3 linked regions of the Caenorhabditis elegans genome follow. The protein of the gene in region 3 interacts with the protein of the main gene of each other region in a pairwise test. Each region holds a gene or a part of one and is shown on either strand. Other genes may lie near its edges.

Region 1 (4,864 bases), on a different chromosome or scaffold from region 3:
ATCGTCTCCAAAAAGTACGTCAACGACAATCGCAACTTGATGGGAAGATCTCTATGTTGTTCGAAAATGTTGAGGCGTTGACGCAGGCTGTGATGTCGAGGAAATGTTATTTGAGGCAGTGATAATAATTTGAAATTCATGGGTGCATTTTATTTATAAAAGAATATTCACAGAATTTCGTGATTTGAGAGAAGGATAAATTATATTAATGAACAATTTAACACGAGTCTGGAATTGAAACAATAACACTTATTGGTTATTGATGGGGTGATGAAAGATGAAAGAACCAAAAAACACGTAAAGCGCAGGAGATCGAAAAAGGGTACTTATGAATTTCGTGCCCTTCTTTGATTGTGAAAATAGCTCCTACGCCTTTAAATGCGAAAAAAATGAGTTAAAAATTATAAAAAGTTTTTGGGGGCACGAAATTCATAATTACATTTTACAGAGAGACAGAAAAATGGAAAGATCCTAAAATTTAAATAATACGTTTAATAGTACTAGGTTTCAGCTAGATATGAATAATGAGCAAGTTGGATTTTTGGTAATCAGTCACAAAACAGAAGACCCGAAGAACTCGGGGGATGTCCAATTGGGGGGATTACCAACTCGGGGGATTGGCCCCGCCCACAGAACCGTGGCTGGCAATACGCCCATTTCTGCAACTGCACGGTTTCGAAACTGTATTTTTCTCAATAGAGCGAGAATTAACAAGAAAAATACAGTTTCAAAACCGTGCGGCAGTTGCAAAAATGGGCGTATTGCAAGCCCCGGTTCTGTGGGCGGGGCCAATCCCCCGAGTTGGTAATCCCCCCAATTGGACATCCCCCGAGTTCTTCGGGTCTCCAAAACAGTAAACTGATTGGTCTCAAAGGTTAACGCCAAACCGAAAATCAACGAGTACAGCTCATACAACAGCTGTTTTTATGAAAATAAGATACACGATTTTATGTAATAGCTTGCTCATTCGATGCAGATGAACCGGCTCCAACCATTGGTCCGGAGCAACTAATAATCTCCCATGCACGTTTTTCTGGATCAAATCGCTCGACTTCATTGATTAAGCTCCAATTGTCAGCACATCCGCGAATAGCATAAATAGCTTCGTTCGTCGAGTGAAGAGTGAAATATTTTCGATCTTTGCTCAACGATGGCTCATCTCTCCATGATTTCGTCAATGGATCATAGCTTCGAACTGATCTCAACGTATTACTCGAGTTACTCCATCCACCAGCAATGTAGATTCTTCCTCTGAAGGCACACGATCCAAATCCGGCGCGACTTCCTTGCATGTCGCCCACAATTTCGAACTTTTGACCAGGTTCTGACAGCTTCTCAATCTTCTCTTCATATTCTTTTCCATTGAAACCTCCCAACACTGAAATTAAACCTTTTTTAATCAACTAATTAATCGAAATCATACCATAAACCTCTCCATTGCATGGAACAACCGCTGCATCGGCACGAGGCCTTTGCAACGATGGTCCATCCTTCCACTCTCCTTGATCAGTATCATAAACTTCCACAGAATTCATATAAGTGCTATCATATCCACCGGCCACGTACATTTTGTTGTTATGGATTCCCGCCGACGTTCGTGTTCTTCCACGCTTCATTTTATTACACTGTAATAACTTTGACATTTTTGTTGAAATCAATAAAAATTATTTGTTTTAAAAGTTTACAATTCTAGAGAATTTTTTAAAAGCTGAAAGAATAACCCACATCTCTTCGCAAGTTTTTCTCCCGATCATACATTTCAACGTTGTTCAACCATGATCCGTTATTCATTCCTCCGACTATATAAATTTGAGATTTGCTGCAGGCAACAGCGTAGTTTGATTTTGGGTTCGGCATTCGCCCAACTGGCGTCCATCCTCTGTTTTTAGGATCGTAGACTCCAATCAAAAGTGGTTCACGGGCACTCTGCTTTCGATCTGGAAAAAAAGAATAATTTTGAGAGATTTTTTAGACTGGAATCGCGGGAGGAGTCTGTATAAAATGCAAAAGCATGATAACAACGAACGACACGCGAGCGTCGCGATGAGCTTTTTTCGTTCAAGAATGCACAACATAAATATAACTTTTACCTGCAACCAATACGGGATCCTGACTAGCGAAAACGAAATTTGCCTTAGTAACAGGTTGTTTAGTTTGAAAAACGATTCGATCGTGCTCTTCGATTTCGTTATTCAAAAAATCCAATCGTGTTCCAGCATCTTTGACAAGAGCTATCGTATCACTTATTTTCTCCATTTCAGCTTCGATGTTGTTGAAGTGAGTCTTTCTTCCGGGCGGAGACAACTTTTCATGCTTTTCGAAGTAATTTTGAAGTGATTTAATTGTCGCCGCAAATTTGTCAGAGATATCATCGCACACCTGCTTCGAAAGCTCACTGATTTTACTGATTTTATTTCCGAGATTAGTCGGTGCTTGATCTTCGATACTATTTTTCAAAAGAGCCAGCTGCATTGTCTGATGTCCTTCGTGTTGGGCCCCATCCAAAGCACAATCACCGCAAATCGCCATCTTCTTAGCTCGTGTCATTGCTTCATCGACTCCATCATCTCCAACAACTAATACTAATTCTTTTTTGCCTTCGGCTTGCTTCAGAACTCCTTTTCCGACGGCGCACGTTTTACAAATTCGTAATTTCTTGGAATGTAGGGTGCACTCACTGCATGTTCCTTCGTCTAAGCTCTGCAAAAACTTTTTCTGGGTTTTTATAGAAAAAGGAAATTATACTTACATTTGTGGATTGTGCCTGTGGCGCTACTCCCCCACTTTGCATACTTTTAAAGTGCTTTATTAATTCTAAAACTTGATAATTGATTGTAGTAATTGCGAAGGCTTCTTCTCGATTGCACTGTGGACATTTTGATGAGACCATTTGATGTTTGCAACTTTCACATATGGAGTGGCCGCATGTGCCTATGCAAGGTTTCCGGAGTTCGGTGTCTGAAATTTAGAAGTTTTTTTCGAAATTCATTAATGTGCTCACCATATTCATTATAACAAATTATGCATTCTGTTGTATTCACAATTGACATTTCTTGAAAATTATTGTGTTTGAACCAACTGTTGACCCGTCTTGTCTGAAAAGAGGTTCAATGTGTGTGAAATTATCGATTTTTAGGGAAAACTTGCGCATTCGATTTTGCAAAAGGATTTTCTAAAATAAAATAAGAATAAGATATTTTCCGCGCGGATGAGTGGTGTGCGGCACGCGAATAAATTTCTATCCGGAAAATTTTCGGCGGAAAATAAATATTATTTATGGATATATCCGGATACTTCGAAAGGGCGCATTTGCACACGCAAGGATTCTAGGCCGCGAAGCTTGACATTAATTTATCAAAACCCATTTGGATTTCGAATCCGAAAGAAATTCGATAGATTTAAAAGTGATTCAATTTTGACGATTGGAGAAATTTCGAAAACATGCAATATTGAAATAGTTTTATTTTGAAACACAGGAACAAAACAATGAACAGCGAAAATTCGGAAGAAAACTAGAAGATATTATAAAATAAGAATGAGCAAGGCGCGTTTATCCGTCGACAAAGAGAATGAGAGAAACATACGGACATTGCCACGGTTAAAAAAGGAAATAGAATATCCTAAAAAATGATGAAAATCATTGCTTTTAAGTAACTGTTTTAGCATTATTTGAAATGTTCTGTTTCCTCATATAAAATTTCTCAGATTTTAAAAAATTGCTTGAAATCAAAATTTCCCAACTCTTTCTAATACTTATTTGAACCTAATGAAGAAGCCACGCTCATTTTGAAACCATTCACCATATTCTAATTTCGCTTTTTTGTGCAGTTCTAAATTTAGAGAAAATTCGATCAGGGAAATTAGCCAAAGTTGGAAATTTGCAATTTTATATCCACCTTTCACAGAATTTCTCATTTATTTCCAGTTCGTTTTACAGATATCTAAAAATTAGGACAGGTTTGAATTACTGTATTCAAGGTTTTTTTTATTGCGACACGATAAAATGCCTTTCTCCTACCGATATCAAATTTTCGTTATTTTTCTCTTCTCTCGTTTTCAAAGACCAAGAAAGAATTCTATCAATATTATCCTTTTTGACACACGATGATTTCTCCTTTTCTCTTCATCCAATCTAATTTTTCTGTTTTCACAACGTCAATCTAATTCGAATGCGATTTCCCATACACTTTCTGATTTTTATTCCGTACTTAATACTCGTTTGTAAGTTAATAAGCTCGTAGTTCTATAAATAGTTTCGAATTATTAGCAGGAGAAAACGATATCGATGAAGATCGAGAAGGTGATGGTGTCGATGTAATTGAGGTTAGAAATGACGCAATTCGAATTCGATGGAAACATGATTCCGATGAAGAAATTGTGACAAGACAACGATTAGTTGTAACTGTTATGAGAAGTACGAGCTCTGGCCATTTTGAACATTCAGAATATAGAATATATGATAGGCTCACAATATAATTGTTATCTTACCAATTTGAGTTTTACGATTTCAGGTTCACAACAAACGGAAAAATCATCTCAAACAGTTTTGGTTGATGCATTTTTGCGCGACTACACATTTATTGGATTAGCTGGAAACACAACTTACCGTCTATCAGTGGAAGCTTTCAAGGTATCCTATATGAATGCTTTCTTGTGAACAAGTATATCAAATTATGTAGTTCCGACGTTGTTGCGGTGGCGGTCCTCGGAAATGAAGAACCACTCCTTTCGGGCAGAGATGCTATCTGAAAAATTTGATAAATATATAATGTATTAAAGAGACGATATTGTGAAAACAATTATTATTTTGACGAAAAGGTAAATATATAGGTTGAAAATCCTCACTCACAGTACAAATATTTAG
Region 2 (8,410 bases), 840 kb from region 3:
TGAATGCCTTAAGAGTGAGTGACAGCCGGAATCGCTCAGTTTACTGGAGCGCACTTGCAATAATACATACTTTTTTTTCAGCGTCCCCCAGAATGGAAAGGTCAGCGCCGACATGCGCCGAGTTACGTGAAATCCAGAGAAAGCGTCACGTTCAGAGGATGCTCCAGATTTCCAGTCACATCACCGCATTTCGCGAAAGCTCACCTGGAACCTGTGACTGATGGAAAAGATGATTCGAAAATTGTCAAATATCGATTTGTACCGAAGCGACCAGATTTTGATGGAGAACGCGAACATAAGAAGTGACAAATCTTGGTTTTTTTGTGTTTAAGGCTTTTAGAGCATTGATAATAAATTTTTTGTTGGATTTGCTGTGTTTTTTTGCGGAAATACACAGATTTTTGCAGAAAAAGTTAAGAAAAAACTGCTACAGTTTGCCCTTTTCCACTTTAAATTGCCGCTTAAAAACTCCTCGAAAAGAGTGTGCAAAGCATGGAGACGCAGACACGCACGAAAATCACGCCAGCACGTTACTGGCGCACTTGAGTCATGTGCTGGCGCATTTCTTGTCATGATGAAATTTATTAATTTTTTCTTCGTTTTTTACCAATTTCCGCCGATTTTTCGTTTTTTATTCCTAATTTCTTCAAATTTTGGCAATTTCAGACAATATGCTGCGCAAAGGAGTGTCTTTCGTCGGCCAGGCTGTTCAACAAACGCTGTAAGTTCCTTGAATTTTGAATAACGGTGAAAATCAAATTTTTTCATTGCAGGAAAACTCAGAAAAACTTGCGCATTCAAAGATTCAGCGCCACGGCATCACAATCATCGGAAGAAGTCAATTATGAGATTAGAAAAGACGGAAAGAGACTCAGAGGTAGCGATTTTTACTCTAAAACAAATTCTAAATTCTAAAAACTGATATAATATTTAAAAAAAAACCAGGAGCCGACTATGAAGAAATTGTTCTTACTTCGATTGCCGGCGAGGACAAGACACAGATTCCAAAGGGTGCTTTTGATGTTCTTCTCAAGGAATACGACGATTTGCAGGCCGAAAGCTTGGATTTTAAGGATAAATATCAAAGATCGCTTGCTGAAACTGAAAATGTTCGTCGGCGAGGTATCAAGCAAACCGACGATGCTAAGGTTTTTGCAATCCAATCATTCTGCAAAGATTTACTTGAGGTTCGATTTTTAAAATCAAAATCAACCGAAAAACAATTAAAATAATTCCAAATTTGCAGGTCTCCGATATTCTCGACATTGCCGTCAAGTCTGTGAAGCCAGAAGATCTGGAATCGGGAGGAAAAGCTCTGAAAGATCTTTTCGAAGGAGTTTCAATGACCCGTACTGTCATGGCAAAGACATTCGCAAAGCATGGCCTTGTGACCGTGGATCCAACCAATGAAAAGTTCGACCCCAATCTCCACGAAGCCGTTTTCCAGATTCCATCTGCTAATGTTAGTGCTAACCGCCCGAATTTTCCGAAATAAAAGAGCCAAATCTTGTATTTTTTGAACAATTTGGGCTTATTTAATCCTTTTTAAATGCCACAAAATGCTTAATTTCCTCCATTTTCAGGCCAAACAACCTGTCGGACATATCGAAGTGTGTACAAAGATCGGCTACAGCCTGAAAGAACGTCCAATTCGGCCTGCTCAAGTTGGAGTCGTCTCTAAATAATTTTCTTTTAATTTTCCTCTGGTTTTTTAATGTTTTTCCGGTTTTTTGTAGTTTTTTTTTGAATAGCTAGTAATTTTTATTGTTTTTCTGTTTTTTCCGTTATTTCATCACACTCCAATCACTTTTTCCCGCCGTTTTATAGGATTCGAATGAACAATTTTTGAGTTTCAATTCCCTTTTTTCCACTTTTTCGATAGGTTTTCAGCCATTTTTCATATATTTTTTAATTTTAAACAGGAAAAAAGCTTCTTTTTCATTTAAAACCGTAAAATTTTCAGAATGATCGACACAAACCTTCTTCGGGTGACAGTGTGCGATGAAGGAGAGCTCGAAAAGAGCACAACGCATTTTATTGGGTACCAAATTTTGGATATTTCAAGCGAAAAATGCGATTTTCCAAGCACAAATCGCTTTGTGTCGATTTACGCAGCTCGTGTACTCCTCGAGGAGAAGATTTTTATAGTTTTTGGAGAAAATGCTCAATTTTTGACCAATTTAACATTAAAATTGTCATTTTAATTATTTTAAATGAAAATCGACTACAAATCATCGTTTCCAGCAGTTTTCCATATTAAAAATGCTGAATTTCAGCATAAAAATTACCAAAAAAGCGAAAAATCGGCGATTTGAACGTTAAACTTTTAAAAAACAGCGAAAATGTAAAATCTAGCATTTTAGTCGAAAACTAGTATTTTTCTCCTCGGGGAGTACACGAGCTGCGTAAATCTACATTAGGCGATTTGAGCTTGGAAATTGATTTTTTTTACTCAAAATTGAAAAATTCTGCGAAAAATTTCGAATTTTTTTGCAAATTTCTAAAAAAAAACTTAAATTTCAGCTCCAAAATTATACAAAACTTAATTTTTTTCATTTCCAGATCTCGAAAAATAGAGCCGGAGCAATGGATTACGTGGGCGAGCGAATGCAAATACTTGCCCGAATCTGACGCTGTTGCTCTTTGTGCAACGTAAGAAAAAAGCAATTTTCAGCAATTTTCGGCTCAAAAACTGAACATTTTTTCAGATTAATCGATCGTCTATCACTGGAAGCCAATGTGGTGCCCGTTTCGTCGCCTGTCACAATTTGTGGAGATATTCATGGACAATTTTATGATTTACTCGAATTATTCAAAACTGGTACGGAATCGGATTCGAATTGGAAATGTCACAAAATTGGATGAAAAATTCAAAAAATCAGCCGAAAAATCGAGAAACTTTCCGGGAAAATCGGAAAATTAGCCAAAAAAAAATCGAGAAATTGGATAAAAAAATTCGTAAATTGAATGAAAAATTCAAAAGTTGAATGAAAAATTCGAAAATTTGCCGGAAAATCGAAAAAATCGATAATGTGTCGATTTACGCAGCTCGTGTACTCCTCGAGGAGGAGAATTTCACTGTTTTCGGGCCATTTTTCGCTTTTTTAACATTAAAATTGCCTTTTTCAGATGGAAAAGTATTTTACTACTGCTAAAAACGAAGAATTTTCATATTTTCAACAATAGAAACCTAGATTTTCGCCTAGAAATGGCGATTTAAGTGTTTTTTACAACAAGATCGCGAAAAAATAATTAAAAATCAAGCATTTTAGCCGGAAAATTGTGATACACTTCTCCTCGTGGAGAACACAGCTGCGTAAATCGACACAGGGCCGTGGAAGAGGCCATACGGTTTTTTTTCTGTTTTCAAACATGAAAAAAACTCGAAAAATTCATTTTTACAGCTAATTTTCGATTTTTCGACGGAAGAAGAAGTTTTGGCGACGTTTTATGTGAAAAATTCAAATATTTTGGCAATTTTGAGTGTTTTTTGTGGAAAAAGGGTGCAAAATTTGAAAATTTATAATTTTTTCAAGTTTTTCTGAAAAAAAAACAATCGTTTAAATTTATTAATTTGAAAAATCGTCGAAAATCAATAATTTCAGCAAAAAAACTCTAAAATTCTTCTCCTCGGGGAGTACACGGGCTGCGTAAATCGACACGAAACGATTTTTCATCTAAATTTAGAATATTTCACCGAAAAATCGGTATAAATCTAGAAAAAATCACTTTTTTTCATGCGAAAATCCTTTAAAAAACAGTTTTTATACGATTTTCTTGAAAAAAAAGTCAAAAAATCGATATTTTTAATCCAGAAAGCTTAAAATTTCGAAAAAAAAACTTTTTTTCGTAAATTTTTTAAATAAAAAATGGCGAAAATATATTCAGCAAAAAAAACTCTAAAATTCTTCTCCTCGGGGAGTACACGGGCTGCGTAAATCGACATAACGATTTTTCATTTAAATTTTGATTTTTTCGACTGAAAAATCGTTAAAAATCTTGAAAACCCCACTTTTCAGGCGAAAATCCTTAAAGAAACAGTTTTTATACGAATTTCTGAAAAAAAAAAGTTTGAAAAAATCGTTTTTTTTTTATCCAAAAAGCTTGAAATTTCGATTAAAAAAACCTTTTTTCGTGAATTTTTTCAGTAAGAAATGACAAAAATATATTCGGCAAAAAGCTCTGAAATTCTTCTCCTCGGGGAGTACAAAGCGATTTTTCATCTAAATTTTGATTTTTTGAATGACAAAAAAAAATCGTGACGTGACCCATTTTTTCTCATTACAGGCGGCACAGTTCCCAACACAAAATACGTATTCATGGGAGATTATGTGGATCGAGGACATTACAGTCTGGAAACTGTTACACTGCTTTTTTGTCTTCTTCTCAAGTATTTTTTGATTCTTTTTCCTACCAAAATTTCTGTAAAAAACTCCAAAATTTGCAGATATCCGAATCAAATCACACTGCTCCGCGGAAATCATGAATCTCGTCGAATTTCCAATGTTTATGGATTCTACGATGAATGTCAGAATAAATATGGACACGGAAATGTGCACAAATGGTTCTGTAAAGTAAGGAAGCGATGGAAATTGAATGGAAATTGGAAATTCGTCGTGCAGAAAAAGCGATAAAAATCGTTAAAAATTCAACGTTTTGGCGAAATTATACGCGAAAATTCATGAAAAAATGATTTTTGTGCGATTTTCTGATAATTTTAAAAATTTAACTGAAAAATTGGCTGAAAAATTCAAAATTCGTTTCAAAATGGCTCCAAAAGTAAAGCTAAAAATAAGTCGAATTTTTATAAAATTAAAAATTTCATATAAACTTTCCGGAAAATTGTTTTTCTGTAATTTTCTTTTTTAAAAAACTTCAAAAAAACATGAAATCCATCAAAATTAGTTTTTGTGCAATTTTTGGACTCAAAAATGCTCGATTTTTTTCTGGTTTTTTTAAAGAAAACCTTCAATCTGCAGAATGGAAAATTTCCAAAAAATATTATTAAAAATGCTCCGTGAGCTCCCAAAGTTCTTCTCGAAAATCGCTTCAAATTATTTTTTTAAACGAGAGGTGATTTTGTAGAATAAAAATGACGAAAATAACTTTTTACTGTCAATTTTTGCGGAAAAAATCCGAGTTTTTACGGGATAATTGGCTCTTAAAGTGCTCAAGCACTAGATTACGTGTCGAAAAATACAATTTTTAGCCGATAATTGTATCGAAAAGGTATTTTTTCACCATTTTCATCAAATTTTCAGTTTAAAAAACTAAAAATTAATTTTTTTTCAGGTATTCGACGTTCTTCCAATTGGAGCTTTAATTGATGAATCAGTACTGTGTGTACATGGAGGACTTTCACCTGATATTCGAACAATTGATAGTCTTATGTTACTTGATAGAGCTCAAGAAGTTCCTAATAAGGTTGGAAATTTTAATTTATCGTGAAAAATTAATCGAAAAATAAATAATTTACCGGAATTAATCGAAAACTAAATGTTTTTATTTGGAAAACATTGAAAATTTAGAGATAAAAAATATAAATTTATTCAAAAGTTTCATTTTTCTTGGAAGAAAATCCGAAAATTGAGAAAAAATATACGAGAAACTATAAATTTATCAAAAATATGCAGATTAAAATGAGAAAATCGAGAATTCGGGAATTTTTGGAGAATTTTACTCTAAAATACGAAAAAAAAAATTGTTTTTTTAATACGAAAGTCTTGTTTTAAAAAATTGAATAAAAAACCGAGAAAATTTGAAAAACCGAAATTATCAAATAATGATTTTGATGAGAAAAATCTTAAAATATATTCAAAAAGATGAACAATTTCGATTTTGAAAAATCCAAAAAAAGATTATTAAAATTCTTTGGATTTTCTCATAAAAAATTAAAAAATTAACTTTTCGATTGCAAAAAAAATTTTTTTTTTCCGAAAAATGAAAAATTCTCGTTTTTTTTTCTTCAAAAAATTGCGAAAAAAATACGAAAAATTAGAAAATTTACTCAAAATATATGAAAATGACTGGAAATTTTCAAAAATTATTTTTTTTTACTAAAAAAAAATGGAGAAACTCAAATTTTCAATTAAATAAATTATTTCCAAATTTGCAGGGTCCTCTATGTGACATAATGTGGTCGGATCCGGATGATGACGTCGAAGATTGGGTGATTAGTCAAAGAGGAGCTGGATTTGTAAGAAAACTGACTGATCTGCCGAATTTGGGCAAAAAAAACAAAAAAATTTGGATTTTTTCTTTTTCCAACTGAAACTTGATAGTTTTTTTTGTTTTTTGGTCCGAAAAAACCTTTATTTTTTTTGCCAAAAATACGACAGCCCTGTCAATTTTGGAATTTCCACTTTAAAATTAATTTTTTTTGCAGGTGTTCGGAGCAAAAGTGACAGAAGAATTCCTAATGAATAATGATCTTTCACTACTTTGCCGGTCCCATCAACTCGTTGACGAAGGATTTAAGTATATGTTTAATGAGAAACTCGCTACCGTTTGGTCGGGTAAGAATTTCTTTTATTTTGCTGAAAAATTAGAAAAAAAATTCCAAAAAAAAGATTATGGGTCGATTTTTGAAAAAAAAAACGGAAATTTTCCGATAATTTCCCGTTTTCGAACTTTTTTTGAAAAATTCTAATTTATCAAAATTCATTCAAAAAACTCAAAAAAAAAATCGAAAAACAAAATTTTCTCGGTTTTAAGAATTTCTCCTTTTTTCCGAAAAAAAGTTTTAATGTTTTTTCATTAAAAACTGAAAAAAAACTGAAAAACTTAAAAACTTGGAAACTGAAATTTTTTTAATCGCACAAGCTGGAAATTTTCTTGAAAACTGAAAAATACCTCAAATAAACTGAAAAAAGAGAAGAAAAAACTATTTTTCAACTGAAAAAAACTGAAATTGCTAAAAAAATTATTAAAAAACTAAAAGAAACTGATTTTAAAAAAACTGTAAAAAAAAGGATTAAAGGAAACGATAAAAATTTAAAAACAGAAAAAAGAAAATAAAACACTTTTAACTGAAAAAACTGAAATTGCTTTAAAAGTTATTACAAAAAGAAATTTCAAATAAATGGATAAATTGCAGCTCCAAACTACTGCTATCGATGCGGAAACGCGGCGGCCGTATTCGAAATCGACGGAAACAATCGCTCGACGAAATATTTCAACGCAGTTCCCGATGGAAGCCGTGAGAAGCCGGATCGTGTCGTTGCTCCGTATTTCCTCTAAATATTACCTCACACCTGCCTGCCTATTTCTATTTCCGCCACAGCTACATAATTTAATTATTCTTTAAAATTTATGGTGGAATAGTGTAAATCGCTTTTTAAAAAACCCAAAAAAAAACCTGCCAAAATAATTGAAATTCCAAAAAAATCCCACAAAAAACAATAAAATTCAAGCTAATTTCCCGTAAAATTTGACATTTTCCCCTGATTGGTCAAAAAAGGGCGGAGCAAATCGCTGATTGGTCCTGCAATCAGAGGCTTGTTAATTCTTTTTTTCGACCAATTAGCGATTAGCTTCGCCCATTTTTCGACCAATGACCGGGGAAATTTGTCAAAAGTTGAGCAAAAAACATGAATTTTTCATTATTTCTGAATTTTTTCCGGGTTTTTATCGTTTTTTTGTCAATTTTCATCATTTTTTGCTATTTCAAAGCAAATTCACGCTATTCCATCTTGAATTTTAATGTTTTTTGTCTGGAGTGGACCCCCTATAAAAGCCTCGGTTCCTCGTGTACTTGATCTTCATTTTCCCCCATTTTGTGTGTATTCTCTCTCTGATTTTTCACTTTATTCTCATGTTTTTCCTTCTTTCAGCTCCTGTTCACTTTTTTCCGTCGTGTTCCCCCTTTCTCTTTCTCTCATTCCTTAATTTAATTTTAATGTGTGAACAATTATCTCTCTCGAATAATCTCGAATCTTCATTCATATTCCCAGAGAGACGGAAATGTACAAGAAATTGGTAGGGACTAGTAGTAGGCGATTTTCACAGAAAATTTGACAAAAAAAAAGAGAGACGAAAATTGTGATACCCAAAGCACAGGGGAGAGAAAATTAAAAGCATATGAATGAATAGAAGAGGAGGACCCAGAGGATTCCAGTTGCAAAAATAAAACTGGATTTTTTCAATTTATACACAGGAATGGTTGGTGGCAGAGGAGAGTGTTACAGAAGACGGACGGTAGAGGATTTCAGATTTACATTGCAGATGGCGGTGGAGGTGGTGGCGTGTTGTCCTGGAAATTGGAATTTTAAAATTTTATAGGACGCGTACTCCCCGAGGAGAAGTTTAGAACATTTTAAAATTTGAAATAGTTTAATTTTATATTTAAAAATCTGAAAATCGATAAATTTTGTTTTTTTTTTTTCGATTTTTTCAACAAAAAAAAACTATC
Region 3 (7,332 bases):
ACACCTCATTCTTTTTCTTTTGATTAGCATTTCTCGATTGTTTCCGCTGAAATTCGTCCTGTGGCATCAAATAAGATTCAGGACCACGTGAAACATTTGGCTGCTTTCTTGATGTTCGATCCAAATTAATTTGTTGACCTTTTTCGAGAAGTTGCTCCTCGAGCAACATATCTGACCACATGTTTTTCGACTTTTTTGCCGGTTCCTGGAAATTTTTTTAATATTTTTCAATAATTATTTACAATTTTCGGGTATTTTTCTTTGTTTCAAAAAATTATATTAATCGTATTTTCTATTTAAAAAATGAAATTAATTTTTTTCCGATTTTTTAATTAATAAATTGATAATTTCTGATTTAGCTTTAAAAAAAATCAAATTTTCGGTCTATTTTCTTAATTTTTGAGAGAAACTTAAGCTTTGAAAATTTGAAAATAATTTTTTCAAAGTAGAAATTTCTCTCAAAAAAATTAGAAAATAGACCGAAAATTAGATTTTTGATTATTTTTAACACTAAATCAAAATTATCAATTTATTAATTAAAACATTGAGAAAAAAATAATTAAAACCGGTTTTTTTTAATAGAATGTTTTTTTATTTTACTCTTCAGTTCCTGTTATTTGTATAACTCTTTTTTTCAGTTTTTTTTTGAGTGAAATTCAATAAAGCTAGTTTTTAAGCGCTTTTTTCGAATTTTTTCAAGTTTTTAATCGAAAAATCGCCAAAAAAATTGAGGAAAATTGCTAAAATTTTATCGGAAATACATTTTTTAAGAAAAATCTTTTTTTTTTTCAAAAAATTGAGTAAGAATGTAAAAAATGGATATTTTCTCAGAATTTTGAAGACAAAAGTAGCTTTTTGCCGATTTTTCGATTAAAAATTGAAAAAAAAAAGTTTTGATTTTTTCTGAAAAGAAACTGTTCTAAAAAATTTTTATTTTCTGAAAAATCCGAAAAAAGTGCTTAAAATCTTGTTTTATTGAATTTTTTACAAAAAAGTTTCAAAATTTCGTCAAAAATAGTTTTTTTTAAGAGAAAATCCGAATTGTGAAACTTTTTCTTGATTTTTTCGGTTTTTTTTTAATCAAAAATCGAAATTTGTTACGAAAATGGTTAGTTTTTGCCAATTTTTTCATTTTCAAGGTAGAAAATCCCCGATTTTCAGCCAAAAATCGTGCTCCTTACAGCTTTCAGATCCTCATCTTCATCTTTATTGATCGGAAGTCTCTCTTCATCGGAATCTCCTTCCGAATCGTGACGACGCTTACGGAATGCCATTCTGAAATTTTTTTTTTCTGAAAATCTGAAAAATATTTTGGAACTTATGTATAAAAAAGGTAAAAACCCTTTAAAAATGCAAAAAAAAATATAATAAAATATAATTATTTACAGTTTCACATTTATTCGAAACGAAAATAAGACGCCGTATAAAAATGTCGATTTACGCGGCTCGTGAACTCCCCGAAGTGAAGGGAACTTTTTTTTGGAAAAATCCGATTTTTTTTTTGAAAAAAACTCTTGCTAAAATCCGCAATTTTTATGGAAAATTTTGAGAATTTTCAGGAAATTCGGCGAATTTTTTTTTGAGACTTCTTAGTGAAAAATCCTCAATTTTTTGAATTTTCCCAAAAAAAAACCAGTGATTTTTGAGAATTTCAAAGAGAACACCGCGGTTTTATTGAATTTTTTCAGAATTTTCAAAAAAACGCAAATTTTCAAGTTTTTTGAAAGAAATATCTGAAATATCTCTATTTGAATAATTTATTTTTCAAAATTTTCGAAAAACCTGGAATTTTTTGAAATTTCCAGAAAACCGCAATTTTATTGATTTTTTTCTAGAAAAATATCGTAAAAAACGGATAATTGCAGATTTTCGCGGAAAAAATTTTCAATAATTTTATCAAAAAATTTTTTCCCATAAAAACTGCAATTTTTTTTTAATTCTCAAAATAATCCGCCGAAAATTGCCAATTCTGCAATTTTTCCATTCAAAAAATGCAGATTTTTCAAAATTTTTCGCCTTCTCCTCGTGAAGTACACAAGCCGCGTAAATCGACACATGCGGGAGCTAGGAATCCCGCGTAAAAGTAGAGATCTACAATATAATTTATCCTTTATTGTGCATATTTCCCCATCCACGTCGATGATCATCCTTATATTCATCCCAACGCATCGCCTTCGCTCTCGCCTCGTCATCATCAACCTCTTCTTCGGATTCTTGAGCTTCTGCCCCGGCTGGAGCCGACGATTGTGGAGCATTTTGTGGATTATGACCGAATTTCTGATGATACCATTCATCGACACTCATCGCTGGAATTCCTGGATATCCGAGCCCAAAGACCTGCTTCTGTTGAGCATCTCTGGTAATAATGAAGGGTTTAAGTGTTGGAACTGTCTTTGTTGCTGGTGGTGGAGCTGGATGACGATGTGGGTGAGATGCTCGTTCAGCCATCATTTTCAGCAGTGGAAGCTCGTCTGAAAATTGTTTTCCGTTTTTAAAAACGTCGCTTTCTGCTCTAAAAGGCTTAAAAGGCTTGGCCATGAAGAACTGAAAATTATTCAAAACTCGAAAAATTCAATTTTTCAGGGTCATTTTGAGGCTCTAAAAACTATTAAAAAACTTTTTTACTGACAGAAAATTAAAAAATTTGCAAAAAATAAAAATAATAATTAACTTATTATTTAAATTTTTTTTATTTTTTTGTTTAAAAAAATTTCGAATTTTCAATTATTCAAAAATTGGAAAAAAATTAGACAATTAACAGGAAAATTCATTTCTTTTATCAAATGTGGTTTATTTTGATTTGAAAAATCAGAAAATATATAGTTTTCTTCTACAAACAAAAAAATGACCAAAATACGACCAAATCGGAGATTTTAGCTAAATTTTGGACTTTTTTCTTGTTTGTAGAAAAAAAATGATATATTTTCTGAAGTTTTTCATCAAAATAAATTTTTTTTTCGATTTTTGAATAATTAATTTTTTTAATTCAAAAATCGAAAAAAAAATTTAGATTTATTTTGATGAAAAACTTTAGAAAATATATCTTTTTTTTCTACAAACAAGAAAAAAGTCCAAAATTTAGCGGAAATCTCCGATTTGGTCGTGATTTGATCATTTTTTTGTTTGTAGAAGAAAACTATATATTTTCTGATTTTTCAAATCAAAATAAACCAGATTTGATAAAAGAAATGAATTTTCCTGTTAATTGTCTAATTTTTTTCCAATTTTTGAATAATTGAAAATTCGAAATTTTTTTTACAACTTTCTAATTTTAAAGGAGTTTTGCAAAAATTTAAAAAATGAGTTAATTATTATTTTTCCTTTTTTTGCTTTTTTTTTAATTGTCTGTGGGTAAAAACGAATTTTATAGCTCTTAGAGCCTCAAAATGACCCTGAAAATTGAATTTTTCGATTTTTTAAAATAATAGTTTAAAAAAATTACAAAAAATCTTTAAAAAGCAGCGTCGCACAGAAAAATAGTTTTTTTCTCGAATAAAAGATCATAATTTGAACATATTTGCTGTTTTTCTGTGTTTTGGTTACCATTCGTCTGGAAACATCGTTAAATTAATGAAAAAATGTGCGAAATCCGGAAGTTTAGCTAAATTTAGCCATTTTTCTCCTTATTTTCCATGAAATTCGGCATTTCGAAGCCATTTTGAGCATTTTTAGAGCAACAAAACGATTTTTCAAGCAAAAATTCCAGTTTTCTTCGAGTTCTCAGAAAAAAAATATGATAACATTGCGTTTTTCTGCCAGAAAATCACATTAATTCCGATTTTTCGTGATTTTTAAAAATAATTTTTCCATGGAAACTAGGCGATATTCTACACACCATCAATCGCCTGCAACTCCTCGTAACATCTTTCACTCCAGAACAATAACTGAGTAATATAGAGCTCTCTGAGATTCTGCTCATCAATTGAAACGGCTTCCAGCTGCTTTTGGATCCTGAGCTCCGCCATTTTGAGCTCTTGCTTCTTCTTGTGACGCTCCAACTTCAATCTTCTGATCTCTTCAACTGCAAGCTTCGGCTTCTCCTTTAAATTTTGCTCTTCTGTATCCTCATCTTCCCATGGTAATCTGGTGGTGATCAGGCACAAATCTCGGAGGCGATCCAGAAAATTTCGCATATAAATTTTGGATTTTCTCAGTTCGTCGAGCTTCAGGCCGGGCTCAGTCATCAAATTTTGGTGGAGAATTCCCAAAAAACATGGGACAAGGAGATAGGGCAGCGAGTTTGTTGGAACGTCTTCAATCTGAAAAAAAATCATTTAATTTCAGAAATAATCTTTTTTTTTTTCGATAAAAAACCTGCTCATTCGACGAAAACAATCTCATCTGATTCACAAGCTTCGTGACCAACTGGAGATTATCAATTCCCGTTTTGATGCGAGGTTGGAGCTCCGGGGTGGAAAAAATCCCATCTTCAATATCGCCGATCACCTTTTTGCTCGGATCGTAAAGCGCTTGCAAGGAAATTTCTTCATCTGATAGCTCTGACATGCTCTGAAATTTAAATAATCAATTTTTAATTGAACAAACGAGGAAAAATTCAGGTTTCGCAGAGAAAACCCGTTTTCAGTGAGCGAAAATTTTTCAATAAACAAAACGAAAATAGAAAACACCCGATTTGACGACACTTGTGCAAACACCCTCACGCAATATTGCACAGATTTCTGAAAAAACAATTTTTTGTTTTTTTCTGGAACACATTTTACAACTTTTCAGACGGAATTTTCGGTTTTTTATCGAAATTTATGGAGAAAACGTTCAAAAAAACTCAAATTTGCTTGTTTTTAAAGGGTTTTTATGGGAAATCGTGTCATTTTTCCTTTAACAACGGAAAAACAATTCAAACACTGTCAAAATGACCAAAAATCATATTTAATAAAACGTTCAAAATGTTTCGGAAAACGCTTTATTTCGAGTCAAAAAGTGGAGAAACTCGTTTTTTTGAAAGTCTTCGATTATGGCCGCAGAGGCTCAAAAAGTGGCGCAAAATCACTTTTCCCGCGCGAAATTTGAAAAATTATCTCAAAAAAGAAGAAAATCGCCGAAAATTTAGTCTAAAAAATTGGCTTTATTGGAAAAAAATTAAAACATCAAAATCCAATTATTTAATAGACTTTATCGTTCTTGAGCAGCTTCTCCGGGAAGCATCTCTTGAGGCACTCAACAGTGAAGCAGCAGACATCATCCTTCGGGAATTCCTTGTACGAGCAGTTGTTCTTCATGGCACAGCACGCGGATTTGTAGGTGCTATCTGAAATTAATTATGAATCTTTTGAAACAAAACACAAAAAATCAATAAATAAAAAAACTTACAATCCTCAACAGTGCATGGGGATTGCTCCAAGCCGTAACGGCAGAACATATTCATATATTTATCGAAATTCTTGCATGACGAGGCGAAGGAAACGAGGAGAACGAGGAAAATCAAGGCGATCCGCATTCCGGCGGCAGACTGGCTCGGAGCTTTGGAGCTTTGGAGCTTGAGAGCTTTGAGCCGGCTTCCGATGGAACAGCTGACTAACTTTTTACTCACTTTTTCATCAATGTGTCAGTTGTCGGTTTTATTTTTGAAAGTTTTTATTCAACAAACCAAAACATCAAAAAAACATTCAAACGCTCAAGGACGAATTACGATTAACATTTAACAACAAGAAAAATATTTAAATATTTTTTTTAATAGGAAAATTTTAATTTTTATAGGAAAAATTCCCTATGACATTTCCTTCACAATATTATGCACCGCCTGGCTCCGCATCACGCTGGTGTGCGCCGAATCAACCTGGAAAACATTTATTAGATTTGAAAAAAAGAGCTCAAGGGGGCTCAGAGTCCCTCTTATATTTAAATGGAAGAGTTTTCAGCTTGGGAAGCTCGGCCGCGACGCAGCTGCATGCGGAGCGGCTCAGACGAACACATTGATTTTATCATTTTCTGGTAGAAAAAAAAACAGAATCAACGTTTTTGCCTGAGCCGCTCCGCGCGCTGCTGCGTCGCGGCCGAGCTTCCCAAAACTCTGCCATTTCAAGGGACATCCCGCGTTACTAGAGCTTGAAAACCCATAAATCACCCACCAAAAGCAGTGGTTTCAGAGCAGATCTCAGTGAATTAAACAAGTCGGGGAAGATGAGCTCCTGCTGAGCCAGGAGCTGCTTGACACGGTGACGTTCGGTGGCCTGGTTGAAGCATGCCGGGCAGTTTTCCGCGACAACTGGGAGTTCTGGAAAATTATTTATTTGGAGATAAATTCAAAAAAAAAATCGCTGAAAATACTTTTATCCTCGGCGAAATTTCGTAGAGCCTTCTCGCGAACCATCACCAGCGGTCGAATGACTCGAAGAGCTCCGTCTCTGGAAAAAAATTGAAATTCCTTTTGAAATCGACGTGAAAACGCGCTCCACGGACAATTGGTAACGCTCCGCCCCCAACAGTTGGGTCTCGTTAGGAAAATTTTCAATTTTCCATCGATTTTATTGATTTTTTCGTCGAACTTATGTTATTTTATAAATTTCGGCATAAAAATTTATTAAACTAATGAAAAACGTGACAAAAACATTTGAATTTAAAGTTTTGTCTACAAATACCTAACGAGACCCGCCTGTTGGGGGCGGAGCGTATTTTTCTGGAAAATATACGATTTTTCAGTGTTTTCCAGGAAAGATCAAGTTATTTTCCCAATTTTTTGTTTTTTTGAACACGGTAGTCATTACTGTAGTTTTCGCTGCGAGATATTCTGCACAACACATTTGACGCGTAAAATATCTCGCAGCGAAAACTACAGTAATCACTACTGTAAGTGTGGATTTACGAGCTGCCGCCAAGCCCCGTAAATCGACACCTACAGTAGTCATTACTGTAGTTTTCGCTGCGAGATATTTTGCGCGTCAAATGTGTTGTGCAATACGCATTCTCAGGATTTTGAGTTCAAAACATTTGGAAAATATTTCGATTTTATCGTAAATTTTCCATAAAAATCCGCCCCCAAGAGTCGGGTCTCGTTAGGTATTTGGTGGCAAATCAATCTTTTTTCATTTTCGGTGAATTTTTGAAAGGAAAATCTTAAACATCGACTGATTTTTGGTGTTTCTACCTGAAAAACAACGAAATTTAGATTAATTTCAGGATTTTCGTCTCAAAAAACTCGAACAAAAATCGATTTTTCTAATTTTCAGTACTAACTTCGTCGTATACTGAGCCTTCATCGTGCTCAAATTTCCATTCTGAAAAGCGGCAATGAAGAAGCTTTCAGCAAGATCATCCAAATGTTGTCCCATCGCCAGAACATTCCATCCGTGTAATTGTGCGGCGGCGGCGAGTCGG

Evidence for each region. The genes of interacting proteins can lie anywhere in the genome.
Region 1: the proteins of ppfr-4 (region 3) and rike-1 interact in a two-hybrid assay, tested with the Caenorhabditis elegans proteins (one large-scale study listed by BioGRID).
Region 2: the proteins of ppfr-4 (region 3) and pph-6 interact in a two-hybrid assay, tested with the Caenorhabditis elegans proteins (one large-scale study listed by BioGRID).

Annotation. Positions count from the first base shown.
Region 1 is NC_003283.11:14,542,772-14,547,635, forward strand, and holds rike-1 (RING-type domain-containing protein), read right to left. Parts: upstream 3,051-4,864; coding exon 3,002-3,050; intron 2,959-3,001; coding exon 2,750-2,958; intron 2,710-2,749; coding exon 2,091-2,709; intron 1,938-2,090; coding exon 1,726-1,937; intron 1,635-1,725; coding exon 1,424-1,634; intron 1,379-1,423; coding exon 948-1,378; downstream 1-947. Other genes in the region: kcnl-4 (Calmodulin-binding domain-containing protein), read left to right, coding at 1-122; C53A5.13 (Fibronectin type-III domain-containing protein), read left to right, coding at 4,170-4,221, 4,268-4,414, 4,512-4,630.
Region 2 is NC_003281.10:3,459,740-3,468,149, forward strand, and holds pph-6 (Serine/threonine-protein phosphatase 6 catalytic subunit), read left to right. Parts: upstream 1-1,963; 5' UTR 1,964-1,964; coding exon 1,965-2,041; intron 2,042-2,562; coding exon 2,563-2,652; intron 2,653-2,708; coding exon 2,709-2,821; intron 2,822-4,287; coding exon 4,288-4,390; intron 4,391-4,447; coding exon 4,448-4,574; intron 4,575-5,292; coding exon 5,293-5,424; intron 5,425-6,115; coding exon 6,116-6,196; intron 6,197-6,385; coding exon 6,386-6,515; intron 6,516-7,096; coding exon 7,097-7,239; 3' UTR 7,240-7,914; downstream 7,915-8,410. Other genes in the region: C34C12.2 (Fibronectin type-III domain-containing protein), read left to right, coding at 1-14, 82-306; C34C12.8 (GrpE protein homolog, mitochondrial), read left to right, coding at 672-721, 774-877, 946-1,187, 1,247-1,462, 1,584-1,685; smim-14 (Small integral membrane protein 14), read right to left, coding at 8,213-8,251. UniProt on the Caenorhabditis elegans protein: Catalytic subunit of protein phosphatase 6 (PP6). In complex with saps-1, promotes actomyosin contractility during cytokinesis by regulating the organization of cortical non-muscle myosin II nmy-2 and thus contributing to correct spindle positioning.
Region 3 is NC_003281.10:2,617,113-2,624,444, reverse strand, and holds ppfr-4 (Serine/threonine-protein phosphatase 4 regulatory subunit ppfr-4), read right to left. Parts: upstream 4,510-7,332; 5' UTR 4,507-4,509; coding exon 4,315-4,506; intron 4,260-4,314; coding exon 3,836-4,259; intron 2,472-3,835; coding exon 2,104-2,471; 3' UTR 1,736-2,103; downstream 1-1,735. Other genes in the region: Y71H2B.2 (Phosphorylated adapter RNA export protein), read right to left, coding at 1-205, 1,182-1,274; Y71H2B.4 (Lipoprotein), read right to left, coding at 5,121-5,266, 5,329-5,455; Y71H2B.5 (Aminotran_5 domain-containing protein), read right to left, coding at 5,726-5,794, 6,087-6,232, 6,286-6,362, 7,192-7,332. UniProt on the Caenorhabditis elegans protein: Probable regulatory subunit of serine/threonine-protein phosphatase PP4 which may play a role in meiosis and embryonic mitosis.